4 linked regions of the Diceros bicornis minor genome follow. The protein of the gene in region 4 purifies or fractionates together with the protein of the main gene of each other region. This does not show direct contact. Links are inferred from orthologs where the notes say so. Each region holds a gene or a part of one and is shown on either strand. Other genes may lie near its edges. The genes, in order: YEATS2, TADA2A, TAF9 and KAT2B.

Region 1 (7,086 bases), on a different chromosome or scaffold from region 4:
GGACAATCTTCCTCCCCCCCAAAAAAATGGTTAAGGTGGTAAATTTCATGTTATGTGTATTTTGCTACAAGTGAAAAAAAAAGTAGACAGGAGTTAAATGATAAGTATGGTTTTTCCATTATTAACCATGTCCTTCCTGATGGAGCCTATGTAATAAATGCATTTATTTCCAGGGGGTAAAAATACACTCATGCGCTGCATAACGAGGTTTTGGCCAATGATGAACCGCACATACGAACATGGTCCCATAAAATTAGTACCATAGAGCCTAGGTGTATAGTAGGCTATACCATCAAGGTTTTGGTAAGTATACCCTATGATGTTTGCAGAGAGATGAAATCGCCTTATGACACATTTCTCAGAACATATCCCCATTGTTAAGTGACATATGACTGTACACGGGTGGGAAATTCTGCAAGTTTTATGTCAAGCTATATATTTTTAATGATAGAGAACTCTTGACAATCAATTAGAAAATGACAAATACAATTAAAAAGATGCACAGAGGACACGAAAAGAAATTCAAAAATGGCCAATAAATGTGAAAAATGTTCAAACATACTAGTAATCAAGGAATGAAAAATTAAACAAGACACTATTTTTCATCTATCAAATTTAGTTTGAGGGTTGGGCCGGCCGTGTGGCTTAGTGGTTAAGTGCGCCCACTCCGCTACTGGCTGACCGGGTTGGGATCCGGGCATGCACCGACACACCGCTTCTCCGCCATGCTGAGGCCCCGTCCCACATACAGCAACTAGAAGGATGTGCAACTATGACATACAACTATCTACTGGGGCTTTGGGGGAAAAAAAAAGGAGGAGGATTGGCAATAGATGTTAGCTCAGAGCTGGTCCTCCTCAGCAAAAAGAGGAGGATTAGCACGGATGTTACCTTAAGGCTGATCTTCCTCACAAAAAAAAAAAAAAAATTTAGTTTGAGGGCAGATGGAAATAAGGTGTCTTGAAGAAGGGGTACTTTTTTCTAATTTACACTCATTGTCTTCACTTCCTTATGTTCCATTCAATTATTCCAATCTGGTTTCCACCTCCCACTTCTAGAACTCTGAACAGTAATACCAACGACCAAAACCAATAACCTCCACACTGCCAAATCCAACTGAGCATCTCACTAAACATCTCAGAAGCACTAAAGAACCAATTCTCCATCTTCCAGAAACTTAGACTATCTCTCTTGGCTTCCATGACACCAGTCTGCTGCTTTTTCTCCTACCCCACTGGCTGTTTCTTCTGTCCTGTGCTCAATCTTCTTCCTCTACCACACCTCAAAGTACGGGAGTGTCTGAGCCCTGATTTTTCACTTCTCCATCTATACTCTTTTCCTAAGTGATCTCATACAGTCCCATACCTTTGATTATCATCTATATACTGAGTATTTCAAATTTTTATCTCCAGCTCTAGGCTCTCTCTTCCGTGAGTTCCAAACCTGTACATCCAATTGCCTCCTCACCATATCTACTTCATAACTAATATGCACTTCAAATTTAAAACAGAACTCATTCTTTTTCCCACCTCAAATTTCTCTCTTCCATCCTCCACTTGCTCACTACATGCCATCTACTCAGAGTTGCTTAAAACAAATATCAAAAGCAGAGTTCTCCCTTTCCCTCACCAATCCACTTCCAAGTCTTGCTCATTCTACCTCCAAAATATTTTAAAATCTTTCTAGTCTTCTCCATCTCCACTGCCATGGACCTATGCCAGGTATTGCAAACAGCATCCTAACTAATCTCCCAGCTTCCATTCTTGCCCTCTTCCCCCACAGAGCAGTCAAAATTATTCTACTTGCATTCTTAAAACCTTCAAAATATTCCCATAAAATCTAAATTCCTAATCAGGACATCATCTGCTCCTATCTTTCAAAGACTGTACACAACCAAAAACATACACTCAATGATAATATCTCTAGGCAATAAAACTACCAGTACTGTATTTTTACATTTTTCTATGATGAATACTTGCTACTTGCTTATTAAGGAGGAAATGATATTGCTGAATACTATATAATATTACATGTTATGAAATATGAGAAATATGAGAAAACACGTTAATGAGAAAAGAGAGTACAAAACTGTAGGTAAACTCATTGTAACTGTTATAAGCTTAGAGGAAAATATCAGCAAACATACCAAAACTCCAAGAATGATGTGTCAGGGCTGTAGGATTACTGGTGATATTTTCGTCTTCTACGTTCTAGTTTTTAACATAATCACATTCACAATAGAAAAAAAAGGTTATGATATAAACCTCATTGTCTCCTGCAATCTTGCCACAACCCACCAAACCAGCCTTTCTTCCAAGAACTCACTTTCCCAAGCTTTCCACCCCAACCCCGCACTATCTCACACCTTTAACTCGGACACCATCCCTGGAAGATCCTCCTACCTTTCTACAGCCTACTCACCCTTCACCGGGGTGAGGGACGGCAGGGATGGAGACGGAGATTCCAGGATTCTTGTCGGTAAATTCACAACTTGCCAGTGCTGGGGCCAAATCTCGTCTCCAACTGGTGGCACAGGGCACCAAGCTTAACATCCTAAAAGCTCCGGGCACTGGGGCTCAAGGGACCCCATCCCCTCAGAGAGCGCTGCGCCCCTTAGGAAAGGACCCTCACACACACCCAAATTCCGGGTTCCAGCTTCGGAGACTTGCCTGACAGACACAGTCACCGTGGATCCAGCCCCCAGCGCCCGATCCTCTCCTCTCCGCAGTCACCCGCTCCCTCCCTCCCCTCGGCAGGGGGCCCGCGCGCCGGCGGGTGGGGGAGGGGCGCGCACGTGCCCGCGCCGCCCCCGCCCAGACAATGCTCCGGAGAGCGGCGCGCGCGCCCGGCCGGTCCGATCCCGCTCCCGCCAACACTCACCCTTTTCCCGGTCTCCGGCTGAAGCACAGGCCCCGCCGGGGGCCGCGAAAGGGCCCGGGCGAGGAGAGAGAGCGGACGAAGCCCCGCAGAGCCGCCCCGCCACGAGGCCCCAGCGACCCCGGAGCCCGCGGAAGCACACGGCTCGGCGGAGACCGCTCGGCCCGTTCGCCGCGCACGTCAGCAGCAGGGGCGGGGCGGGGTGCGCGCGGCGGCGGCGGCGCGCGCGCGCGGCCCCGGGGCGGAGCTCGCAGGGATGTGGGCGGGGCCGGGGCACAGGCTGGTGCTGGGGCCTGGGCCCGCGCGGGGGTTGGCGGTTGGCCCGGGCCCAGACTCTGACCCTGGCCGGCGCTGCTGCGCTGCCTGGGGAGTACGGGCGTCGGTGCTGGGAAAGGCAGCGTCATTTATCAGTTTCCTCTTTAGAAGAAGATGGCGAGGTCCAGTCCGAAGTTTCAGAGAATATTCATTCTGCCGGCCTTTATGAAGCTTCGCCAGTAATAACAACAGTGGCTATGATTTTTGTGTGTGTCATCTCGTAGCAAGTTTTGTGCTAGGTGCTAGGAATACAAATAACAATAGCTATTTCTAACCTGTTCTACAGATGCAGAAACTGAGGCTCGGAAAGATTGAGACTTATCTAGGTCGCACAGCTAGTGAGTGACAATCCACCAAGTCCAGTTTTCGTCCTAAATATCTCTTGAGCTCACTCTTCGCTTTTCTTCTCCCTGTACCACCCTACCCCAGACCCTGGTCACCTCTCTGTCCAAGACCGCCGTAGCCTCCCAACTGGTCTCCAGTGATCTGTTTCTGTCCGCCTTCAATCTCTTCTCCTCACTATGTAAAGGTTTACCACTGGAACTGGGTCGTAGGTTTAGAGGGGATTCACTTCGTAATTTTTTGTACTTTACATATATGTTACCAATTTTTGGATGTATTTAATGTTTAATAAAAATGTTTTAAAAGATTTACTTCTTTATCTCCAATAGCAAGCCTAGTACATTTCACATAGTATGCACTCTGAAAATATTTGTTGAATGAATGGCTAATAGGGCCAGGAACTGACTCCAGAGCCCTTCATGGGAAAGAAATAGAGGGATTTATAATATGTCACGCTTGGTCTCCTGACCTTAAGGTCTATTAGAGGTAAAGATAGATTAACAATATTTATTAATCTAATTTTTATTGCATTTCTATTCTGTGTTCTGGCACTGTGTGCCAAGCTCTGTGTTAGGCACTGAGGATCAGAAATGAACAAAACAGTTCCTGCCTTTGTGAAATTTGCAGTCAATTTTATCGGAAAGGCCTCCCTGAGCTTAAGCTAAGACCCAAAGAGAGAACAGGAATTGGGGAGATAAAAATAAATTTCATGGAGAAAGAGGTAGGGTAAGAGGTTATCATGAGTGTGTCAGTGTTCCCCTACTTTTGGGGTCTAACCCTGAGGCAGAGGCATAGAAGTACCCAGCTAAGTGGAGGGGGAGGGAGAAGCCCACTTCCCATGGCCCAGCTTGGAAGGCTGCCGGATTCTGGCAAGAAGTCTCACATTGAGCAGGGCTCAGGAACAGACAGTGGCATTGGGGAGGGAGGGGGTCTGAGATGATGCTGCTGGGTGTCCACAACTTGCAGATGGCGTGCCAGAATCTCAGACTTCTCTGTATGCTCCCTGCCAGGCAAGCAGAAAGTAGAATGGTTGAGAGCCATGGACGGGGCAGTGAGCACTGTGCCAGAGGCCTGGTAATCCTAAACAGAGGCAATGATGGACTGATTGGCAGGGAATGGCTGGAGAATGTGGCTCAGACCTCAAGGATGGGCAGAGCCAAAGACCCCAGCAAGAACTGAAATGCTCCCAAGTCAGCTGGGGAGAGGAGCAGGGATAGAGGATTGGGGAGTGGGAAGGTGAGACGTCAGACTCTCAAGGTGCTGAAGCAACAGATCATGAGCTTGCCAGCCAACAACCTCAGCAGCTGATGCCAGCAGGGCTGAGGTGACCAGGAGTGACCAGGAAGCACAGGCCAGTGAGGACCCAGGCTACAGCTCTGCACACAGATCTGAGACCCTTCTGGCCACCACCTCAAAGCTTCCGTTGCATCCCACAGGCCATCTTGGGAACTCAAGAGGAGGAAGGGGAAAGTTCTGACAGGACTGCAACCTTGAATTGATTGAATGTTTACTCAAAATGAGACTATTAAGACCAGATAACTTTCGGGCTGGCCCCGTGGCTTAGCGGTTAAGTGCACGCCCTCCGCTACTGGCGGCCCGGGTTCAGATCCCGGGTGCGCACTGACGCACCGCTTCTCCGGCCATGCTGAGGCCGCGTCCCACATACAGCAACTAGAAGGATGTGCAACTATGACATACAACTATCTACTGGGGCTTTGGAGGAAAAATAAATAAAAAAAAAAATTAAAAAAAAAAAAAAAGACCAGATAACTTTCATTGGCAGGTTTAAGTTTAGCCCATTCCCCAATAGGAATGAGAGTCCATGAAAAAGTTTGCAACATTTAAAGAGAAATAACATAGCTACAGATGTTTGTACGTATGCATGCAGTGTGTACATTTCAATAACAGATAAGATCTAGGAAGGAAATGGACAGGGTGCTGAGAAAGCACAGCATAGCGGGACCAGATCTAATGTGGAGGGAGAAAAGGCCTCCCCGAAAAAATAGTAAGTGGAACCTGAAGGCAGTAGGAGCTGCTGGGGCACGATTAAGTCTGAGACAAAGTGAGAGAAACCCAGGGTCACTGAAGCAAGAGCAGAGTGGTTAGGGTGGGGCTGAGAGTGAGGCAGGAGGAAGATCACGCAGGGCGGTGGGTTAAGATTTTGATCTTTACCGTGTGAAAACAACAGGAAGTCATCAAAGGTTTTTAAGCGGAGGAGTAAGGTATTCAATTTGCCCTTTAAAAAAGACCACTTACCCAGCAAATGGGTGGGGAATGCCTGGAAGGGTGTGTGAACAAAGCAGCAGCCAGACAGTTGGAAAGCAATTTGAGTGGCCCAGGTGAAAAATGAGGGTAGCTTACACTAGACAGTGGAGATGGAGGGAAGTGGAAAGATTCAAGAATTGTGGAGAAAATACTGAGAGACTTGGTAATGAACTGGGAGGGGACGGACGAGGAAGGGGAAGGGGACTGGCCCCTGCTAGGTCTAATGGCATGTGAGAAAAAGCTGCCCCAGCCTTTAAGGGGACAGTGCCCTGTGCTGGGGCACAGCTGGTGGTTGGATTTCAGGCCCCTCCCTGGCAAGGCCTAGTCAAGCAGCAATCACCCGCACAACCACTGGAGGTGGGCCTGGAAGGAGAAGATGAGGAAGGAGAAGAACTGAGGGTCACTCCCAGGTTCCTGGCTTTGGCAAATGGTGGGTGGTGGTGCCATTTACCGAGAGGAGGGAGACTGAAGGAAGAACAGATTTTGTATGTTGCGGGGTAGGTGAATCAAGAATTCCCCTGGGGACATTTTAAGTTTGAGGCATCCACCTGAAGAGACTCAACAGGCATCTGTACATGTGGTTCCGAGACTCAGAGGAGAACTGATGGGTGGTGCCGTCAGTTGCCGCCAATACTGTTGTCAACAGGTAGTTGGTGAGAGCTGGTGAGATTGCAGTGGAAGATAGTACAGTTCAGAGGGGTTGCACAGTCACAGCCTACAATGTCACACTGCTTTAAACAAGCCAACACTCCAAATATTGAGAAATTTCACATACTAACCTGGATTTCTCCTTCTCTGAAAAATCAGAAGCTGTGGTAACCTGGACCTACATTCCTATAATTAGTTATTAGCTAACACTATGTACCAGGCAGTGTTCCAAGCACTTCACAAATTTAATCTAAGTAACAACTTTATTATTATTATTCATACTTTAAGGGAGAGAAAACTGAAGCACAGAAAGGTTGAATAACGTGTTGGACAGCTGAGAAGTGGAGCTGGATTGCAGACTCAAGCAGTCCTGCACTGAGTCTGAGAGCTCAGCTGCTGCACCACGGATGCATCTGGAAAGCTGCAATCCCATTTAGAGGAGCCCTAGTGCCTTCAGGAGGGCTGAAGTAGGTCCCACTACCCCCTGTTGTCTTCCTGACTCCTCCATCCTACTCTGAGCATCAGTTGCCATTTATGGTTTTACTCACACTGCTGTTTTCTCGTATTAGAGAACGATTTCTCTATACCCATGCCTCTACCAAGTAGAAAATTAAAAATATTAAATCGAGACATCTAACT
Region 2 (8,004 bases), on a different chromosome or scaffold from region 4:
ACTCTTAGAACCCAAGTTCCATCTAAAAAGGCAGGGTGGCACTTCCTTTATTCTACCACTGACTCTTTCCTATCAAGGCATCTGAAATATGTTATTGGTTCTAATGAGAAATCCAACTGTTTTTTTAAGTCTAACTGCAGGTTAATCATACTATGCCTGGTCCATCTGAGCTTAGTTTTCTTATAAGACCTAGGGTGATATGTTTGTGTCATGTGTTCAGCGGGCAATCAATAAGTATCGGTTGATTTTATTTTGATTTGATACTTTTAATCCTTTAGGATCAGATTCACAGAGCTTGAACTTCAAAGTGCTTATTTTTCTTCTCTGATCAGCTTCCATTTCAGTTTGCTATTAATATTCACCTGGGACTTGTTCCCACAGTACTTACTGCTAAAGGAACCCAAACGGTCCATGCCCTAATTGGCAAAAACTGCTGCTTTGATCTTCCTCAATGCAGCGCTCCTTCAAGGAAATTTCAGAAATGGCCAACACATACACCAAAGCTTGATGACCCCTATGAACAAACAAAAGTGGCACATGGATCAGGAAATAATTCAAAGGGACAAGATAAAGAGAAGATAAGGCAACATACTCAATTCTACCACATCCTAGCTTTATAATGCTAAGCAAATCATTCTATAGATAAAGCCCGTTTCCTCCTCTGTAAAATGGGTATGATATAATAGCATCTACCTCCTGGAGTTGTTGTGACAATTAAATATCAAAATCCACATAAATAATATACCATAGTGCCTGGCCCATAGTAAGCCCTCTATAAAGGCTACGTACCTCCAATAAACAACTATTGGTATTCTCTGCCCAGCATCACTTCTCCGCTTAGCCCTCTTTCCTTTGAGAAACTGACTTTCCCACATTTCATATGGTTCTGGCGGGGTTGCCAATCATAATACTCCATCCCCTGCCCCCAGAGCAGCTAAAGCAACCAGATCTCTTCTTACAGAAATCTGAATCCTGAGTAAGACATATAAGGACAGAAGGCAGTTGAAGCTCAGTCATTCACTAGTCAAAGAATTTGGTCCATGAGTTCTGGCTGTTCAGATCCTCATCTCCAAGGGTGGCTCAACTGTTTAGTTTTTTCCCCTCATTTCTCTTTCCAATAATACTTCAACATGAATGAGTTTCTGTTACTAGAAACCAAGGAATTCTATCTGTTATGACATACACTTGTTCACTAATTTACTCTCTGAACAAAATTTAATAGGTATGTACAATGTACAATGATCTTTTTTTTGTTGTTTTGTGAGGAAGATCAGCCCTGAGCTAACATCTGCCAATCCTCCTCTTTTTTTGCTGAGGAAGACTGGCCCTGGACTAACATTCACGCCCATCTTCCTCTACTTTATATGGGACGCCACCGCAGCATGGCTCAACAAGCGGTGCGTTGGTGCGTGCCCGGGATCCGGCCCGCAAACCCCGGGCCGCTGCAGCAGAGCACGCACACTTAACCGCTTGCGCCACCGGGCCGGCCCCTACAAAGATCTTCTTGAAGGCAGAAATGAAATCATATTTCACACTAAGCCAAGAAAACATCCTTCCTTCTTCTAAACTCCCATAGCTTTTCATCTATCTCTTTTCTGGCATTTTTCACATTCTACTTTCTGAGGATTATTTCTGAATGCTGAAATTCTGAATTTCCCCCATTTTTAGACTAAATGAAAGCAGGGACTACATCCAGTACAAATTTGTATGCCTTAAAGTACCAAGCACAGAGGAAGAACTCAATAAACACAAATGTGATGGGCAAATGTTAGTCCTATAAAAGTTTAATTCATCTTTAGTTCTCCTGGAGTGACTTCTTTCATCTGATATTTTTAGCTTGGGGAATAATTCATCACTAAGCGTACGCAACACTCAAATAACATGGCTGTCAATGAACTGGTCTTTTTTGGGGGTAGGCTGGAGTGGGATGGTTCTCCCTCTGCTCTAGTCCCAGGAAAAGTTAGTCTTTGAAGAAAAATGAGTTTAGCACGGGGTATTATGCGCTCAGTATAATAAAATAATGGCCAACATTTATTGAACTTTTCTCACATGCCACATACTGTGGTACCACTCTATGTGGATTCTCTCTTTGAATCCTCACAACCTTCTGAGGCATGCTGCTTTTTCAAAGAAGGAAAGGATGCTCTGAAAGAATGATACTTGCACAACGTCTTACAGGTAGGGAACAGCAGTGCTGTTTCAACAGGTTAATAGAAATTTCAAGTAAAGGATGTAGACACAGTCTGGTAAACACTCCATGTCATAAGCACAATATTGCAACGAGCAGAACCTTCTGTTTTCCTCTCATTTCTTCTCCTGAGCCATTTCTGACACTAACATCCATGAAAGAACGGGTGCTAGCTCCAAATTAACATTTGCCACATTCAAAGAAGTTAGTGGGAGGAGGAAGGAAGGTACTGTGAAGAACAGCACTCAGTGTGGTGCAAAGGACAGGTGTAGGCTTTGGAGTTTTGCAGACAAGGTTCAAATCCTCACTGCGTTCCTTATTAGCTGTATATTCTCGGCCAAGCCATTTTACCTGAGCCTCAGACAGCCTCAGCTCTGAAACGGAGCTGAAATATTTACTTTGGAAGGCCTACTTGAAAACTCAATGGGAAACATGGGTCAGGGGCAGGACACACCGTGGCAGTTACCAGCGCAGCTACGCGCCCCATTGCACAGACAGGAATACCGAGGCTGGGCTCCTGCGGGGCCGCCCAGAGGGCGGGACGCGACAGGCTCGCCGCGGGGCGGGGCCCAAGAGGTCATGCGGAGTCCCGCACCGCCCTCCCCCACAGCCGGCGTGGCTGGCGCCTGCCGCCTCCACACCCCCCGCGTCTCTCCGGCCACCGGAACCCGCAGCGCCCCTCCCGCGCCGCACCTCGCGGTCCCCGCCTCCCCCTCGTCCCCCTAAAGGGGCTCGCACCCGCCACCGCCCGCCCTACAGTGCCTCGTGCCTCACCTCGCCGCGTCCCCCTCCTCCGCGCCGTGGAGCCGCCAGCCGCGCGCGCCCCTGGGGCTGCGTGCTCGCTCCCGAGCGGCGCAGGCGCGAGCGCGCCGCGTGCCGCGCGCCTGCCGCCGCCCCCTCAGCCCCTGTCCGGGCCCTCGCCGCGTGCCCGTCGCTGTCCTCCCGCAGAGGCCTGGGAGGATGGGGCTGAGCAGCTGGCCTAACCCTTGAGTCCGACCAGTTATCAGTTTTCCCGTGAGGCGCGTTGCCGGTCGCCAGACGTTTGCCGGTGCGTGGTGCCGTTTGATCCCCTCCAGAGGGCGGTGAGGTGGAGCGGGCCGGTACTGTCCTGCTTTTGTGTTTTTAACATTCCCACCCCCCACCCCTGTTGCAGCAAAGGAAATTGAGGCTGAGGGACTGGGCCCAAGGACGGCGAGCAGTGGCCGCCTCTCCAGTCCAGGTCTTGCAGTGCTGCCCATGGATTAACCAGACTGACTGAATGGTTTAAGGGTAAACAGGGTACGTTTTATTCAGATGCTCCTGGAACGTCGCAATTACCTCCTTTGGAAAGAACCATCCCCTCTTTGGGCTTCAGAGGCCCAGATTGAGGCGCAATGATGAGAGGATGTGGTGGGCCACTCTGATGTCAATCTTGAGGGCTAGGTATGTCCCAACATCTCTTATTACTACTACTAATTATTATAATAGCTACCATTTGTCGAGTATTTATTGCATGCCTGGCATTGTTCAAAGGAGGTTGTATACATGGTCTCATTTAATCTTCAAAAACAACCTTATGAGGTAGACACTATTATTATCCCCATTTTCCAAGTGAAGATATTTAGACTCTGGCTTTTAAATAATTTGGGATCATACTGCCAGAAAGTGTTGAGGAAGGTGATTCAAACTGTGGTTTATCTTAACCATTATGCTGTTACATCTGTTTAGAATTCTGTCTTGCATAAATTTGCCCAATGTCTTTTAGAATTCATTTACACATTCTGCCTGTGTGGCCTCTTTATTCATTTTTTAGTATATGAGTAATACAAGTTCATTCTAAAGAAAAAATCAGAAAATTCACATGAGCAAAAATAATGTGAAAACCAGCTCCCACCATGTTAAATAAACAGTTAACATTTTGGTATACACTCTTCCAGAAATTTTCCTATGCATCATGTCAATAAATACGGAGTAGTTTTACATTTGATATATCCTGAAAATCTGTTTATTCATTCATTCAACAAATATTTAATGAGCAGACATTGTTCTAGGTGCTGGGAATTCAGCAGTAAACAAAACAAAGTCTCTGCCTCATATAACAGTGGGGGAGATTGACAATAAAGCAATACACATAATATATTACTAAATAAGAGATAATGCCCAGTAATCTGGCAGGTTTTATGGAAAAAAATAAATCAGGATAAAGGGGTAAGAGTGATGTGGGGTGCTCTTTTAGATGGAGTGGACAAGGAAGGCCCCTTAATGGCACATAAGCAGAAATCTAATCATTAAATGAGAGAGGCAGCTACGTGGATTTCTAGAGGAAAACTATTCTAGAAGAGAAACAGCAATTGCAATGGCCCTGGGATAGAGACTTGCTTGACATGTTGGAGAAGTAGCAAGGAGACCAGTGTGGCTAGAGCACAGCAAATTAGAGAAATAAGTTGGGAAACAGGCAGAAGCCAGATCATGTATCGTCTGGTAAGCCATGGGTGGACTTTGGATTTTATTGGGATGTGATAGACTACCATGGAAGGGTGGAGAGGAAAGGCGTAATCAGATTTGTTTTAAAAGGATCATTCTGGCAGCTGTGTAGAGAATAAATGGTAGAAACATTAAAATTGCCCTTTAAAGCATAAATTGTCCTTTTACACAGCAGTTCAACAGATTGTTTATTAACATTGGTGTTTCACGTACATCTTTACAACCACTCTCACCTCCACAAAGAAGAAATAGGGTCAAACACTTAGGATATCTTCATGTCTTTCTCATCTAAACTGAAAATTTTCAAGCCTGACTAGGGCATATATCCAGATCTGGACGTCACGATTGTCAGCAAACTGAATATGAGTCATCAGTGTTGTACTATTGTGGAAAAAACAACCTCACATAATACTGGAATCTATTCATTAAAAATGTAGCCTTTAAGCACCTGGAAATTACCCTTCCTCTTCAATTGATGTTAGGCCCTCAGAATTCTAGGCCCCAATTTAGTCATTGTGCTTAAGAAAGATGTGGGAAATTAAAATGTGGAGTGAGAAGAAGGATAACCCAGTGCTTTTCTGGGTTTTCACCTTAACAATGTAGTAGATAGTGGCATTAATTATAAGACCAGTTAAAGGGAAAGTGAAGGACCAGCTGAAGGAAGAACAGTTTTGGAGGAGAAATTAAAAGTTCTGTTTTGGATCTGTGTTTTGCAGCCCAAGTGGAAATGGCATATGGGAGTTGAGAGCTCAGAGGAGAGGCCAGGGCTAAAGTTGTATAACTGTATTAGAATTGTTTCTTTGGATGTGTGTCTTCTTTAGACAAAGCTTGAGGACAGACACTGTCTTTTCTTCTTTGTAACCTCAGTGCCCAGAAGTTCATCCTGGACGAATATTTGTGAAACGAACAAGTAAAGGCAAAGGTATGGATGAAGTCACTCAGGCAAAATGTATAAGGTAAAAAGAGAAGATATCCGATCTATGCTTTCACTGGAGGTTTAAGCACCTGAACGTGACTTACAAGTCAGGTGACCATAAGTCCCAGTTTGCTCAGGACAGTTCTGTTTTACTCCTGTTGTCTCCATATAATTAGTAATATTGTCTTATTTCACTCTCAGAAGTGTCTCAGTTTGTACAATAAGTTGCATGGTCGCTCTTTGTAGAAGGCCCTTCAGGGTCTAGCATCTCCCTGTTTCTTCATCATCACTGCCCTGTCTTACACTTCATTCTCCAGCCAGACGGAAGTATCTCTGTTTCCACTTATACACTCTGTTATTTCCAAGCTTCCTTTGCCACTGTACCTCCCCTTCAGCTTAGACATCACTTCCTCGGGAACATTGCTCCTGACCCTCCCAAGTCTGGGTTAAGTAGCCCTATTACATGCTTCCGGTGCACCCTGTGTTTAACCTGTCATAACAGAGATGACTGAGTGCCTTGTTGCTCCCCTCACTAACCATGTCTGTGAAGGAACCTGAAAAAACACCTTTTGTCCTCTTTAAGACAGAAATTTACATTAATAATATCCAAGATCAGTCCAGGTTGGACAAATATTTTTGAAGACTGACTTTCAGGACAGACTAATGGCGCATCCTCCAAGCCCTTCCATTCTTAACTAACTGAGAAGGTTGACTTTTGAACTGAAAACCCAACAAGGAAAACTGTATCCTACTGTCAGGCTCTGTAACGTGGCTGCCGTTGACTGAGTCCAAAATATCCCAACAGTTCCTCTTCAACTACTAAGCTGCTGTGGTTAGAATCAGAAGTGCGGTTTCTGAGCCTCCTCCCTATTGAAATGATTCTCTGCCATTTCTAGTTACTTACCATGTCTTGAATGCTGAAAGACTTTATAAACTTTATCTCATCTAATATTTATTTTTCCTGTTAACTGAGGTGGCACTTTGTAGTTTGGTGTACAAATAGATAAAAACAGAAAGTCTGAAAGTCCAGCTATGCCTTCTAGGTTTCAGCTTCCTTCCCTTTAAATTCTGAGATATACCCAGTCAATGTAAATTAGCCAGAGATTTAGGTCCTGGAGCAGGGCCCTTTGCCATTTACAGGGGCTTTTCAAGGCAAGGAGTTTTCCTGTGACCCACTCAGTAGAGACGGCTTCACTCCCCAAAAGGCCTGAGCCTCAAGGGTTTGAGCTCTTAGCTCTCAGCTCTTTGAGTTCACACACTAAGGCACTTTCACAGAAGCCCTGGCTCCCCCACAGCCAGCTGAGGATTGGTTCGTTTCCTCAGCCTCTGCTAATGCCTCTTGCATTCAGGAGCATTGCCCTCCTCCTTCCTTCCCCGCTTACTGTACCCCACCCCATCTTTCTCCCTTTGTGGCCACCCTAGTCAAAGAAGTTAGAGAATCAATCCTTTTCCTTCCGAATGTTCTTAGACTGCTTATTTAATTTAATCCACCCCACCTATGACCAGTCTGCAGAGGAAGAGTTGAAGCACTTCTGCTAATCTACTTGAAGAAATGTAAGGTCTACATATAGCCATTTCTCCACACGGTGGCCTGTCTAGGGTGCTTCTATGTAAGAAGGCCCTAAAGATCTCAAAGGTGAACAGAAGGGAAAAACAATTTCTGCTAAAGGGCCCTACTGCATCCCACTTTACAGATGAGGAAAAACGAGGCTCAGAGAGGTAAAACCACTTGCCCCAAGTCATTCAGTTACTAAGTAGCACAGCCATAATTAAACCAAGATCTGTCCAAATGTAACTAGTAAACTGCCACTGACTATTTAAAACTGAAGAGTTAGCAGGTGTCAGGATTTTCATAATGCCATGGCCATTAAACAGAGTTTTCATGACTCCAGGCCTCTGCTACCCATCTCTTCTGCCCCTTCCTCACCTCACTGACTTCTTTTTGATCTACACAAAATGCAAGATATCTATCTAATGAGTCACCAGTCTTTGGGTAGAATCCAAAAAATTAGGTGAACTAGGAATGTTATTGTTGCTGAGTGACTTGTGTTTGTCAGAAAAATTTTAAATGCCTGCTAGGCAGCCCAGCTGCATACTTGTCAGCCTGATATACAGGGCCTCCACCTTTTGAGTCTCAAAACAGGCTCCTAAAATACATTACATCATTTGATGACAGGCAGTCTGTACTCTTTTGCAACCAACAAGTGCCTAATAAATGTTTGAAATATGATTTTTAAGGAAGCTGGCACAGTTTAATGTAATTGAAAAAGCATGGACTTTGAAGTTTTCTTGAATTTGAATTCTGTCTCCACTCATTACTACCTTCAAGAATTTAGGCAAGTTATCACTTTTCTGTGCCTCTTTTCTCTTCATATGTAAAATTAAAATAATAATATCTAATTCATAAGAGTTTTGTAAGGATGTGATGATATATGTA
Region 3 (6,661 bases), on a different chromosome or scaffold from region 4:
AATTTAAATGCCAGAGCCAAATTAAAAACATGAGCATGCTACTGACTTATATAGTATCAAGAATATGACAACAAAGATGCACAAAACTGACCTGCAAAAAGGGATACTGGAAAACATTTAAAAATTTTTTAAAGTGGGGAGATCCTGGGAGGAACACCAAGGGTCCTTAAATATAACCAAAGGGATAGAAAACTTGGACCTGGGAAGCAGGTGGGCAATTGAGGAAGATAAACCCAAACAGATGAGGATTCACTCTGAATAGAAATCCTGACCAAGTGGCCGACCCAAAAGGAGACATGGTTAAGACGTAAACTGGTGCAGTCTGAGAGAATGGACCAGTAGAGTGCCTCACACACCAGACTGCACTATGACCTACACAGCTGGTGACATTAGTGGTAATGAATAGACGGGAACAACCTCAAGTCACTGCAACTGTTACTCCTGTTCTAATAATGAGGGGAAAAGTGCTTCTAAACATATAATTGTCAAAGTACCAACAATCAAACTGATGAATGACAACTTTATTTTTTACACTTAACGGCTGATGAAAAACCATTACTAGTCCTATTAAAAAGAATCCAACATCTCAATTGAAAAGTACGGTAACTATATTTACTCATTAAATAGTACTGAAGTTTTCTAACACATCAGCATGCATGCTTAATCTCAGTACAATGGATTCAAGAGCAAGTATACACATTACAAGCGTCAAGGCTACATTACAAATTATCATAGTCATCATCATCGTCATCGTCATCATCATCTTCACGCTTTCTTTTCGATGCATTTGATGCTTCATTGGCAGTATTTTGTGATGACACCATATTAGTAGTAATAAGAATGTTTTTGGACCCAATTAATGATGGATTAATCAGAACATTCTGAACTGCTGATGTTGCAGGAATGGATGCTTTTACAGCTGGGGACTGTGAGGTGGGCATCTGCACTGTAAACCTCTGCCCTGTGAGGGACACTGGAGTCCCTACCTTGGTTGAAACAGACATGGTTTGCGGGGTTGGTGTGCCAAGTGTGGGAGTACTTGGTCTGCTAGTAACTGAACCAACACTTAACCTCGGAACTGTTATTCTCCCCGCAGAAGTAGATGCCTTTTTTTGTAAAGACTTAAGTCTATAGTTTGGAGCAGTCAAGCAATATCTATCAGGTGGCAACCTAGGCCCTGAATATGGCTTGATCAATGGCAAAGGGGTTTGATTTCTTTGCCTTGCAATATCTAACAAAAAATCTCTTGGAGGAGGAGAGGTAAAAGACTGGTCAGCACGACACTGGATTGCCAATCGCACATCATCAGCATCAACAGTAGCTTTCTTAGCGTGGCTTGAATAAATTTTCGCATCATCTAGAATTGTGGTCACATAGCGGAAGGCAAACTCCAACATCTGATTTATAACTCTTGGCTCATACTCTGTAATGCCCATATCCTTCAGGATTTGTGCCATCATCTGTGCATCTTTCGGCATGCTCTTGGGAGAAGCCATCTTGCCAGACTCCATGCTATCCGGTGATCAGACTTCAGATCATTTGAAAGAAATATGTACATTAGATCAAATCTGAAATTATTACTTTAGTAGCAACTGTCAGGAACTTAAAAATTTTAAATATATGTTAAATTTTTAAAAATGCATTTAAATTTTTTATATGTATATTAAGTCTTGTTAATTTCAATGAGGTACATAAAGTTCCCTTCACTTAAATTTACTAAGTTTCTACCCTGTAAAAATCATTATAGACTATAAAAATATGAAGACACACATAAGGGAGTGACAAAACACCAGAGTAAAACGGGATAAAATAAGTAAAAACAAGTCTCACTTCAGAATACGTGCAGTTGTGTGCAGGCATGCAACTATCAAACTAATCTAAGAAAACGTCACAGGACATTCGTGTCCTAGTGCCTGAGTTCAAAATAACCAGTCCTTCCAGTGAGACCAGTATCCTCACTGTCTCCACAGATATGCTGAGCACCACCCAAATCTTTGCGTTCACCCATCTTAAAACATTCTTCCTCTTCCTCACGCTCAGGTTCTATGTATCTATCCTAAGTCCAGTCTCTTCACGGGAGCCTTCCCAATCATTACTGTCCACAAGAACTGCTAGCCAACTGTGGGGGAGAGGGGGCGGGGCGGGTAGCAATGTAATGGTCAAAATAACTAGGACACAGCATTTAGACACTTAACATTTTCTATGTCTATGGGTCCCCAACAGAGCATAAATTCCTTCACAGCAATCTTTCTCTGCTTTTTGTCCCCTCTCACAAGTATAGTACTAATACTCCACTCTATTTTTTTTTAAACAAATCTAACGAGTGTCCCTTACCTTCTCGAGCTAAATCACCCACATTAATGTATTTCAGGCCCGATCTTGAGGCAAGTTCTTTGCCTAGCGTGGTTTTTCCAACCCCTGGAGTACCTGAAAGACAAGCGACAGAGAAATACTGTTTATGAAATACTTATCAGACTGTAGCCACCCATCTGCCCTTCTTAAGGTTCCTAACAACTGAAATGAAAAGTTTCCTAATTAGCAATCCTCTGTGAATTCATATACACTATGACCTAATCAAAACTACCCAAAGCATGCTGAATGTCAGAATCTCGCCCAGTGTGTCTATGACGAGTGGGGCTTGGATGATTCTGATGCCAATTCAGACTGCCTGCCACCACCATGGAAATTCCCAGAGTAAGACTAGCCATCTCAGATAAATTATCATTTATTTCAATTTTTTTAAAAATTAAGAAATTGTTTATGGAAAAATTGCTTTTGACAATACGGCTTAATATCAAAAAAACAAGGACACTGCCTGCCCAAACAATTCAGATGTTGTAAAATCTTCCCCTTAAAAAATTTTAAAGGCTAAACGTCGATTTGTTGAGAGGCTGATCTGCAGCTCTCAGAAACAGACGGGACTTGTGCACTGCCGACAAGCTCATGTTTTGCTAAATTATAAAACTTTATTGCTTTGTTTCCACAAAGAGCGTCTCAATTTTCCTATGTGTTGCCATAGCACCTACACCTATTCGATTTGTCCTTGATGGATCAGATGGATTAGAAAAACCCATCAGCTTTTCCTATGACGCTATTAGCTCCTACAACGTAAAAAACTTTTCCCAAGTCAAACGACCGGCAATGACATTTTCTCAAGTCGTCAGGCGGCATTTTAGTGCCCCTCACGTATAACAGGCGCCTGAGCGCGGATCCAAAGACCCCGACGGGCCCCCGCGGTCAGCCCGGGAGCTTCACAGCATCTCTACACGGCAAGCGACCACACGCGCTCAGGAGACGCCCCTTCTTCTCGAAAGAAAAGGGAAAACAGCTTCGGCCTCTAACAACACACGCACACAGCAAATTAATCACCCTCCGCCACGAACGTGCGAACCCTTCTCCCCTCACCCGACTCGCAGCACCGAGAAGACAGACGGCCGGGAAGGCCTCGGGCCTCCGCCCACACACCGCCGGGGGCAGACGCCGCCCGCGCTCTCTCGCTGAAGCCCCACAGACCGCCCCGCCGCCGAAGCAACAGCAGCCGCTCACGAACAGGAGCGGATCCGGAGCCCCGCGGCTCTCTGCGCGGCGGACAGGCACTGTCCACCCGCCTCCGCTCCGCGGCCGGCCTCGGCCCACCGGACCGACGCGCCGGCCCTCCCCCGCCCCCGCCGCGAGCCCGCCACGAGGCCCGACAACGGCCCCGCCGCACGAAGGCCCCGAGCCCGCCCGAGGCTCCGAGCCCGCGGCCCGCGCTCTCCAAGCCCCCCTTCCGCCCCTACGGCCGCGCGCCCTGACCCGTGAGCAGGATGTTGGGAAGCAACATAGTCCCCGCGAGGCGACTCGAGGCGCCTCGGCCCACGCGCCTGCGCACGACAGGAGGAGCCGGAAGGGCGCGCTGCGGCGAGTGCCTGTGACCAAGGGGTCCTCAAGGTCCCGCGCGGCGGTCGCCGCCTGTCCCCGCCCCCTAGTCGCCAACCATTGGTTCCGTGGCCTTCTCTGACATGCCTCCATCGCAGGGTCCGAGGCAGGGACAGAGGTCGAGTCCGCGCTGTGGGTCAGGCAGGGCGCTGAACGCCTAAGTCACTCGCGCCGTTGGCGGCCCCCGCCCTTTGGGCTGCGTCGCGGAAGCGCCGACCGGTCTGGAAGGTCCCCGGGAGGCGGGTCCTCCGAGAGCCTCGGCGCTGATCCCGGGGAGGGTCCTGTGGCTGCCCCTCCGCCTGGAGCAGGGCCTGGGCTCTTCCGCTCCCCTGCGCCCGCGGGGGGATGCAGCTCCCGGCAAGTAAGACTGCCCGGCTGCGGCTGTGGTGTTGTGTGTCCAAAGGCGCGAGTCCGCTTCTCGGGCTCTCGTCGCTCCTCCCCCCGACCTGCCCATCCCATTTGGGGGTGAGACGGGTGGGGGTGCAGAGCGCTGGCCTGGAGCCGGGCCCGCGGGCTCGTCGCCGCGCTCCGCTGATTAGCAGCTTTACGTTGGATGAGTGTCTGAGCTTAATATGCCCTGTGCAGTGTGTGTGTGTGGGGGGGGGGGGTCTGCTAGAAGTATTCTTGAGGTCTCTCCTACCTCTGACGTCTCATTTCAGGAACCTGGCATCATCAGCGACAGTTATTTGCTTTTGGGAGGAGGGAACTGTCAGTCTTGTTTTCAAAGAGCGGCTGGAGTCCTGACCGTAAGAACGGTCTGCGTCTTTTATTTCGACCTGCCAACTGTATTCCTCAAATAGGTGTTTTTTCCACCTTTGTACCTCTTTGGAACTCCAGAGCAAAAGCTCTCTAATCGTGCACGATTTGTGTGTGTGCGACTTGTTTTCTACTGTGTGGAAGTATTTACACATTGTAAACTGTGTGCCTCCAAACTATAAAAAAGTTTAGTACACCTTCTAATTTATAAGTTTGTAGACCTTAAAAAACTTTCTTTCTGGCTAACTTAAAATTGGTGAATTCACTAGTTTGTCTAAACATTGAAGAATTATGAAAGTCGGGAAACACAATATTACCAAAAAAATTCCTAATAATGCTCAAATAAGAAAAACATATGTTGTAGAAAAAACCTACAGTAAGACTTAAAGTAAGTGATAAGACTGAATTCATTGTATAGTGGGGTTTTTTTGAAATTTTGGAAATGAAAAACTGCAAATAATTTGAAATGAAGGAAATTTTGATTTTCGGTATAAAAACTGCACAAATAGAGTTGTCTAATTTTTCTTAATGACAAAAGGGAGGTACACAAATAATATGGTTTTTCTGTTTTCTCCAATACGTTATTGAGTTCATATGAAAAACTTTACATTTATAACACCACAAATAGATTGACACAGTTACAGTCATTAAAAGTAAAATTTACTTTGGCATTTTGATTTCTTGCTTTGCCTGTGTTTGCTATGTTCTCTTTCATTAGTTCTTGAGCCTTAACTTTATTATGCTGTTGATTATATCAGTGTATATTATTTGCCGTACTGCTGTTTTACAGTTTTTCTTAATTTAAGATTTTTTTCCTTTCTTTTTTTCCCTAGGTGAGTTATACTTTAATGTACTACAGGTTGTATACTACGGATGGGAACTATCAAAGTTTATAATGTCAAAAACTTTTCTTAGACCAAAGGTATCTTCCACAAAGGTATGACACACTAAAATGGCCATGTAATAATTGCCCAAAAAGAATTATAATTTTTGTATATGTTCTTAATGACTTATTACTGCTATCACAGCAATGGTGCCCAGTATCTGTTGTGATTATTGACCTAAAAAAATCTAACAAGAAGTTGTGAAACAAGTGTACAGTAAAAGCGCAACGTTAGTTTTGAAAAAGCGTTTACGATCCCAGTCACAAAGAAAAGGCTAAAAGCTCTTGAATGAAAGAGCAGTGGAAGAAAGAGAAATATAAATTCAGTTGTAGTTGGTATTAAAGCTTAATAACAGGCTCTGCCTCTCAGAACTCATGTGGTTCAGTGTGCCAGTTTCTCAGCAAGGCTGGGGGTGGAGTGGGTTGTGGGTGAGACAGTGTCATACTCATGTGCAAGGTAGCTATTTTCTTAGTGGTGGATCCAATTTTTCTCTGATCTTAAGTAAATTATTTAACTTTGCTGTTTCTCTTTTTTTTTTTAGTCAGTGGGAGTCCACATTTATATAAGAAAACTATAAAATGTATAAGTAACATGCAGATCAGACCTTTTGTTATCAAAAGGTTTACTGTTATGTACTCTTAAAAATAGAGGAAAGGGCCCAAAATTGTAGCATAGTGACAGTCTTTTGAGAGAGGAAATGAATTAGGTGGCTATGCCTAAAATTTTCTCCCAAAGGTTTTCATTTTTTTTACCCACTGCTGATAATATTCCTAACCCTCTCCTTAAAAGAGGAATGAAGTGTGACTTTGCATTCATAAAATACTTATAAGCCCCAGCTTGCTTCTCCTGAGCCTTCTTTCAGCTCCAATTTCTGGTTCTTTTTCTCCCAGAAAGGAGCATTATCTAATAAATGACTCACAGCTATGGCTGAGTATTCTTCAAGGAAAATATAATCTTGGTTCCCACTTGTTAGCCAGGCAGGGAATTTCAAAAGCCAGGTACTAAGCTAGATTTTTCTAGATTTATTCTGTTGTAAAGTTAAGAAAACACATCTTAAAAATTCTAATTTTTAAGAAGCCTTTTTAAAACTCCTAGATATTTTT
Region 4 (7,470 bases):
CCAGGTCCCTCCTCATTCCCTAACCTCTACTCTCTCCAACTTGCCAAGGGCCGGTTAGGGACAGAAGGTAGAAGAATCTGTCCTTTTGGTCTTTCTTATACGAAGGGTAGAGACCAGTTGAGAAAGAACCACAGATTCTGCTTTCTCATACCCCCTCACCCCAATCAAGCACAGTTAAAAAAAAAAAAAAAAAGGAAATCTGAGATAATGTTACTCCCCAGGTTAAGACTCCTGGATTCTCCAATGCCCTCTTGGACACACACCGCCCCAACCTTGTGGCCCAGCCAATGGAGCGCTCGCTCCTGCTGGCCCAGCTCCAAGCTTTCATAACTTTCAGTTTCCCCACTACAAGAAGCTTCACCTCACCCAGCCCTGCGCTGCCAAGAGTCCTTAGTACCCACTGACACTTCCTCCAGGAAGCCATCCCCACCCCTCCGTGCTGCAGCCCATGAACTGCCCTGCTTTGAGTTCTAACGCCACTCTAACAAAGCAGTTTTTTTGAACGTCACTGGAATTGGTTCACTGCCCACCTTCCCAGGCCTGCAATACACGCATGTGTGCACATGTACACACGCATGGTCGGTAGCTCCAGATGGACAGATTCTGGGTGTCTTAGCCCCAGCATCCAGCACAACGCCTGGCACCTAGTTGGGACTCCTCTAAATACTTGCTGAATGAATGAGCAAATAAAAATAGGCACTCTCAGAGTCTCCCAGGAGCAGGAAGCAAGGCCTTTACTAAGAGAGATTTTTCCCTATAAGTTTACCTACAAGCTTGGTAGCGAATGTGAACATGAAACCCTCAAGTCCCAAACTTTAGAAAAGGTGCTACATCTCACTCATGGAAATATAAAAGGATCAAAAATATCATTGTAGGGCACATAGGCTCGTGGGTTTAGATAGGACTAAAACTTCAGGCAAGTTTTCAGCTATGAAGTTTTCAACAGCAGGCAGCAGGGAGAGAAGGTGCTCACGATGGGAACCCAACTAACAGCTGGGACACACACAGAGCTGACACAGTTCCTCCAGGAGCCCACTCTGGCTGCCCAAGGCCAAGCCCACCACGTAACTGACCTTGGTCTTGATTCTGAGCAGTTCTCCCTTCTGCCTACCACACTCAAAGTCTTGTCTCACCAGTCTAACGCCCTTCAGAACCAACTCCTGGCTTTTCACCTTTCTTAGAAGCACACTCTCCACTTTATCTTTTTTGCTTGTCTTCTTCAGAAACACCAGCCGTGTGGCATTATTGCCTCACAGTTTCAGTTTTCTTTGCTGAATTTAAAAGGGACTAATATATTGTCTGGTTCTGGACTAGGGTCTTGCTACTTGCAGTGGGGTCAGTGGACCAGCGCCACATCATCAAGAGTTTGTTAGAAATGCAGAATCTCAGCCCCACCCCAGACCTACTGATTTAGGGTCAGCATTTTCACCAGATCCCCCAGTGACTCCTACGCACATTAAAGTCTGAGAAGCAATGGGCTGGATCCTACATTCATTCAACAAATATTTATTGAACCAGTGTGGGGTACACAGTGGGCATTCAACATACACATGAGGATGTGAACGGTGCTGAAAAAGGGGTTAAGCACAGACATTCCTTGCGGTTGAGAAGCTCCTGTAAATACTAAAAACAGCATCACCGGGAACCGGGTTCTAGCAGGATTAATAATCTCTAGTCCAAAATTCAGAAGCGGCCACTGCCGCTGAGTTGTGTGAATCTGAAACCCGGGAACTTGACCGTGTTTGCAGTAGGCGGGAGGAATACGTGGGAGGTGTGTGCCTGTGTCTCTTCCCCGCCTCAGCCACAGGCCTCGGGAGCTGACAAGGCCAAGTCCCCGCCCCCCTCAGCTGTCACCCTGTCAAAACAAAGCCGCTGCTGACAGCGCAGGGCCAGCCTGCCCCGCGGCCTCGGGCAATCCTCCCACCCCGGGAGCACGGCGCCCACATCTGGATCTGCAGCTGAGGGGCTACGGGGTGCCGAGGGCTGGGACGGAGAGGGGATGGCAAGAAACGTGCGTCCTCAAACTAAGCAGTCGCGCCCGCCGTGCTGGGCTGTCATCTTGCCAAATCCTGTTTACACCCGGAGCAGCTGGGACAGCCTTTTAACTAAACAAGTAATAATACAATAATGACGAGGCTGTCACCGCGCGCCGCAGCGCCTCTGCCCTCAGCCGAGAGCGCCCGGAGCTCCAGGACCCTCGCGTCGGGCTGTGCCCCTCTTCCCACCCTGCGCGTTCCGCCCCTTCGATCTCCCAAAGCGCCGGGAGTCCGGGAGCCTATTCCACCCTCACTCCTCCCACCTAGCTCCTTCCAATGGGGCACGGGGAGAGGACGGGCGAAGATCCCCAAAAAGATGTTTCCTTGGCCCCGGGGCGCTCGCCACACACTGAGCACTGCTCCGCTCCCTGGGAGGCGCCTCTGGCGGGCTCCTACAGAGCAACAAAGCCCCAGGGCAACCCAGGAGCGCGGACGCAGAGGCAACTCCTTCCGAGGGGAGCAATGAAAGGTTCTCGGTCTTGGTGATTCCCCTTCTTCCAACCCAACAGGACTCTTGTCCGAGAAGCAGCTAATTGGGTGCGGGCGACAGCAGCACTTCCGCGGTGCAGCGGCCCCGGGCGGGAGGCAGGAGGCGGGGGCGGGAGGGGGAGGGGGCAGGGGGCTCGCCGCCGGGCCCCAGCCCCCCGCGGCGGTCCGGCGCGGCGAGCCCGTACCTTGCAGGCGGAGTACACTCCGAGTTTCTCCAGTTTCTTGGCCCGCGGAGCGGAGCGCAGTTGCGCCTTCTTCACGGCGATCCGGGCCGAGCCGCCGCCTCCCGGTCCTTCGGCCGTGCCCGCCGCCGCCACCGCCGTCGCCGGTCCGCAGGCGCCCGAGCCCCCGGCGGCGGCGGCGGCGCACGGGGAGCCCTGCGGGGGCGCGGGCGGCGGCGCGGGGGGCTGTGCGGGCAGCGCCCCGAGCCCGGCCCCCGCCCCGCCGCCGGCCGGCCCGGCCCCGCCAGCCTCGGACATGCCGCCCCGGAGCGCGGCAGCAGGCGCCGAGTGTCAGGCGCCGCCGCCGCCAGGGTCTCCCGCTCGGGCTCCGGTCGCCGGGAGAGCGAGACCCTCCCCCACGCCCTCCCGCCCCCTGCGCCCACCCCCCTCCCCGCCCCCGCCCGCCCCGCGCGCCGCTCGCCGCGCGCTCCGGCCGCGGCCCGCGCGCTGACGGCGGTGGCGGCGGCGGCAGCTGCTCCCCCAGGAGGGAGGGGACTAGCGGCTCCGCGGCCGCCGCCGCCACTGCACACGCCCTCCCCCAGTGCTCCCCGGGGCTCCGCGCTGCGCCCTGGCCGCCGACATGTTCCTCGGGGCTGCGCACCGGGGGCGCCCCGGCCTCTGGCCCGCGGCCCGCGGGCTCTGCGCCCCCCACCCCCGCGCCTCGGCGCCCGGCGCTCGCCCGCCAGGGGGCGAGGCCACGCTCGGGGTGAGGGCGAGGGGGGATGAGGGTGGGGGTAGGGGGCCGGAGCCCAGGCACCTGCTGGCCGCCTCCGTCTCCGCAGCCCCCCCGGCCGACCCCCGCCCTGCCGAGCCCCCCCCCCGGGGGCGGGGGCGGTGGGGCGCGGGAGACTCCCAGTTATTTGTTCTTCGCCTCTATTCCACCCTCTCTCGGAACAGAGACAACTTCCTCCACCCTAGCGGGAGCCAGAGGAAAAAAAATATTTTTGAAAAGTACCCGTCCATGCTAATCCTTTTCTTTGTTGCTAATTCACCAAAATAAAAGCGTCATGTTTCCTATTTTTTTTTAAACGCTTTTCTGTCCAACTTTTTTTAAGAATGCTTTTCTTCCTATAGCAATTTCTGGATCTAATCTGCCAGCGGAAGGAAAAGACTGTGAATCAATATTTTCTGTAAATTTTGTTTGAAAGTGCTGGCTGTTAAAGGAACGGTTGTCTGAAAGCGCTGTCAGAATGAAAACTATGCGCAGTGGGAAAAGTTTGAATACAAAAAGTTGGTTAATACGGTTCATCTCTTCATGGTGGGATTCTAACCTTGCCTTTTTCTTTTCTATAATGTTCCATAGTTTTCAAAATTGATATCACCAGCATGCATATTAACCGTGAAAAAAATTTAAGCAGCATCCAAAAGAATGAGTGTTGATTTTGGCCTCAAACTTAAAAAAAACACACACAAAAAACTCAACTCAGCATTTTCATCTATTGTTGAAACTGTTGAAAACTGTCGTTTTCATTGTTAATGACAATGAGGGTGGTGTTTAGTATTGTGGAGTGCATATTTCAGTTTTTCATTTGAAAGTTGTGCACCCTTGGTTGGCCTTTCTAAAGCAGTTTGCAAAAGCCCAGCGTTATTTTTCAGGACCCTTCACAAGTGCCCTGCTTTTGTAATATGAGTCATAATTTTTATGTAATATGGGTCATAATGTGCGTATTATCAAATTCTTTGCATGCCGTGTAACTCTCGCCCAGCTCCAACCAGAGACGCCTTAAGGAATGTGCTTTCCCTGGAAACATTCCCCTTCCCATCCCGTTATTGTCAGTTAATTTGTTCTATCCTTTTTCTAGATTCTCTATGTTCTTTTGACTTTTAATGCAGAGTGATATGTTAAAATGATAAATAAAAAAAGTTTGTAGATCTAAATAGTGACATTAGACTGCACAGAAGGCAATAGCCTCTTCCAACTTCCGCGCGGTGTGAAGGTCTGAAATGGCAGACTCATCAGGCTCCATCAGGACACTTACTTGCCTGCTGGCTCTTCTGAGGTGTTTTGCAGATTTTTTTTTTGCGGTTCTCACCGAAGCAGGATGGGCTTCTTAAAGGCTGTGATGCCCTGTTCAAAATCTAACATCATGATGTTAGCAAATATGTGCATTTGAGCATTTCACTGGATATAAATTTCCCTCAAATAGTAAAAAAAAAAAAGAAAAGATAAATATTAATTCTAGTTAATGGTTCTCATGCTGAAAGTGTAGGGGTGCAGAGTCCTGATATCTGCAGCCTGCTTTGAGATGCAGAAATAAGATAGATTGATGCATCTGTGAATGGGCCAATAGGCAGATGAACAGATATATAATAAAGCAAGTAGAGCAAAATGTTAATAGTTGAATCTAGGTAGTGGGTATAGGAGTGTTCACTGTGCAGTTCTTTCAACTTTTCTGTATGTTTGAAATTTTCCATAATAAAATGTTGAGGAGGGAAATCCAGCTTTAATATTAATTCAGCCATCACCTCCCCCTCCCAAGCTGTCCCCAGAATTCAGGAGGCAGGCTATTTCCAGGATCTTTTGAAGCAGAAGAAAACAACCTCATTTCAATCCACCTTGAAAACCATCACTGTCTGAATGGTGAATGGCTTGTGACATCAACTGAACATTATTTTTCATTATTTTCCTGCTCTGAACACCCAGATGACATACTGCCTTAGGCGGAAGGCCCACATTTTCACGACCTATTCAAAGCGTTATGAGCACCAGGCAGGGACATTTCAAGGGCAAAGGATTCAGGAGGCTTGTTGCCTCTTCATAGTCAGGCTGTTGTGAATATTTATTTAGTAAGCTCCTGTGTGCAGAGCCCTTTTACAAAGTGGGTACCAAGAAAATAAAAGGCAATGTTTTAGTTTACAAAGTATTTACAACTGTGAAAGGATTTCCATCTAAAATGGAACTGGAGGATATGAAATGGAGACTCACCCTCAGAAGAACAGAAGTTAAGAACTGAGAGACTGATTTCCCATAAATGCCTGAATTACAGAAGATAAGACTTACCTCCTGACCAATGAACATCAGCCAAGAATCTCTCCCTAGCCTCAAGCCAATGAACTTACTGCTGGCTGGACTTCCCTCTCTTTGCACTCCTTGCCCAGAAATCCAGCCCACCCAAAACCTTTAATGGACTCGCCTGTAGCTTGCTACAGCATGCGTTTTCAGAATTGCAGTTCCTCAGCTATTACCAAATAAACTCAATTTCTGGTGGTTCAAGCTTGCCTCAGTTTACCTCTTTATTTAGGTTGGCATGACTTACTGAGGTAAGGAAGCCACAATTAGAAAATAAAGGGCTTGGAGAGTAGGAGTTGCAGGGGGCGGGTTGACCACTGGAGGTTGCTTCTGGTATATTAATCCTATAGAGTGTTACGCAGCTGTTACAAAGAATAACTTTTATACAAATGTAATAGCCTAGACAGATCTCCAAGAAATACTGTTGAAGGAACCTTGTACAGTATAATACCATTTATGTTAAAAACAAACTCACATTGACATATAAGCACAATTCTGTATATGTTCAATGAGTGCATACAAAAGTGCAAAACCAAGAGGAAGATTTAGAAAGATACACAGTAAACTCATTAATGTAGTTTCTTTTCACTGGGCACCCTTGAGAATGAAACTTATTTTTCTCATTTATGTATTCCCAGTTCCTCACTCAAAAAAAGCTCTCAATAAATACTAGTAGTCATTTCTACCTGTAAACTTTATCTTCGATCTGTTCATATCTGTCTCCATGGCTGTCACCTCTCGGCCAGAGTGCCAACAACAACTTCCTTCTGGTCTCTCTGCTTTTACTCTTGCTGTACCACAATCCCCTCTTCACAGTACAGAGTTTTACAACTGTAAATGCAAACCTGATCCCACAATTCCCCTTGAAACCCTCCAATGGCCTCTCCTAACATTTAAATTACAGTCTCAATTCCCTAACCTGTTTGGCAAGGCTCACCTCCCCTGGCCCTTCTCCCTGGTGTGAGGTACACTCCAGCCAAACTCGGGAAGCTCTTGCCTGCCTCAGGAGCTTTGCATGTGCTGTATTGCCTGACACCCTCCCCCAGAAGGCATGGCTGGCCCCTATTCATCTAGTATCCCTTGCTCAAAGATGCCGTCCCACCTAAGAAAGGCAAGTTTTGTGACCATCTATTGTTACTCCAACGTCTACTACCTTTTTGCCATCTTCCTTCCTTCCAAGCCCACACAGCTTCTGTAATGCACCTGAACCCCACAGGTGGATTGAAATTGTCCCCACTGAGGGCTCAGACACCAAGGGCTAAGTCTGGACCAGGCAGTATCAGAGCAGGTTTGCCCCACTGTGTGGCCAGTGGCTAACATCCTTCCTGGCACAGCCACCTGCTTTTAGAGACAGCGGCTTGACATGAGTGTAAAATAAAGACACGTCAGGTAGACGTCTCAGTGTGGAGCTCCTTGGGCCGACTTCCCACTGGAGAAAGTGGCTGTGAGTACTGGACATTTATTTTAATGATCTCTAAAACAAAATCTATACTTCTAAAGAAAAAGTACTGAAAAAAATTTATAAAATGAATCCTAAGGTGGGGAGACATAAAATCTCTAGTTTTCAAGCATTTACCCGATTAAATCGTCATTTCTGATGTGAGTCTTAACCATGCCTCATATACACTTATTGCTATTTTATTCATTTTTATTTTTAGCTGTTCTTAAATAACAATTTCCCATATTTAATATGAATGGGCCTAAATGTGATTGG

The links.
Region 1: the proteins of KAT2B (region 4) and YEATS2 purify together in Homo sapiens (affinity purification with mass spectrometry; 3 studies listed by BioGRID, with this or other methods). This does not show direct contact. The link is inferred for Diceros bicornis minor from reciprocal best matches to the Homo sapiens genes KAT2B and YEATS2.
Region 2: the proteins of KAT2B (region 4) and TADA2A purify together in Homo sapiens (affinity purification with mass spectrometry; 6 studies listed by BioGRID and IntAct, with this or other methods). This does not show direct contact. The link is inferred for Diceros bicornis minor from reciprocal best matches to the Homo sapiens genes KAT2B and TADA2A.
Region 3: the proteins of KAT2B (region 4) and TAF9 purify together in Homo sapiens (affinity purification with mass spectrometry; 3 studies listed by BioGRID and IntAct, with this or other methods). This does not show direct contact. The link is inferred for Diceros bicornis minor from reciprocal best matches to the Homo sapiens genes KAT2B and TAF9.

Annotation. Positions count from the first base shown.
Region 1 is NC_080754.1:39,887,842-39,894,927, forward strand, and holds the start of YEATS2 (YEATS domain-containing protein 2), read right to left. Parts: upstream 3,012-7,086; 5' UTR 2,881-3,011; intron 2,708-2,880; exon of another isoform or gene 2,638-2,707; intron 2,524-2,637; 5' UTR 2,422-2,523; exon of another isoform or gene 2,403-2,421; intron 2,211-2,402; exon of another isoform or gene 2,147-2,210; intron 1-2,146. UniProt on the Homo sapiens protein: Chromatin reader component of the ATAC complex, a complex with histone acetyltransferase activity on histones H3 and H4. YEATS2 specifically recognizes and binds histone H3 crotonylated at 'Lys-27' (H3K27cr).
Region 2 is NC_080757.1:25,286,692-25,294,695, forward strand, and holds the start of TADA2A (transcriptional adapter 2-alpha), read right to left. Parts: upstream 3,010-8,004; 5' UTR 2,963-3,009; intron 627-2,962; exon of another isoform or gene 515-626; 5' UTR 414-514; coding exon 389-413; intron 1-388. Other genes in the region: ACACA (acetyl-CoA carboxylase 1), read left to right, coding at 5,576-5,607. UniProt on the Homo sapiens protein: Component of the ATAC complex, a complex with histone acetyltransferase activity on histones H3 and H4. Required for the function of some acidic activation domains, which activate transcription from a distant site. Binds double-stranded DNA.
Region 3 is NC_080740.1:1,274,026-1,280,686, forward strand, and holds TAF9 (transcription initiation factor TFIID subunit 9), read right to left. Parts: upstream 2,335-6,661; intron 1,529-2,334; 5' UTR 1,512-1,528; coding exon 720-1,511; 3' UTR 507-719; downstream 1-506. Other genes in the region: AK6 (adenylate kinase isoenzyme 6), read right to left, coding at 2,335-2,427, 3,796-3,823; cell cycle checkpoint protein RAD17, read left to right, coding at 4,264-4,279, 5,508-5,611. UniProt on the Homo sapiens protein: The TFIID basal transcription factor complex plays a major role in the initiation of RNA polymerase II (Pol II)-dependent transcription.
Region 4 is NC_080741.1:25,827,775-25,835,244, reverse strand, and holds the start of KAT2B (histone acetyltransferase KAT2B), read right to left. Parts: upstream 3,016-7,470; 5' UTR 3,005-3,015; coding exon 2,711-3,004; intron 1-2,710. UniProt on the Homo sapiens protein: Functions as a histone acetyltransferase (HAT) to promote transcriptional activation. Has significant histone acetyltransferase activity with core histones (H3 and H4), and also with nucleosome core particles.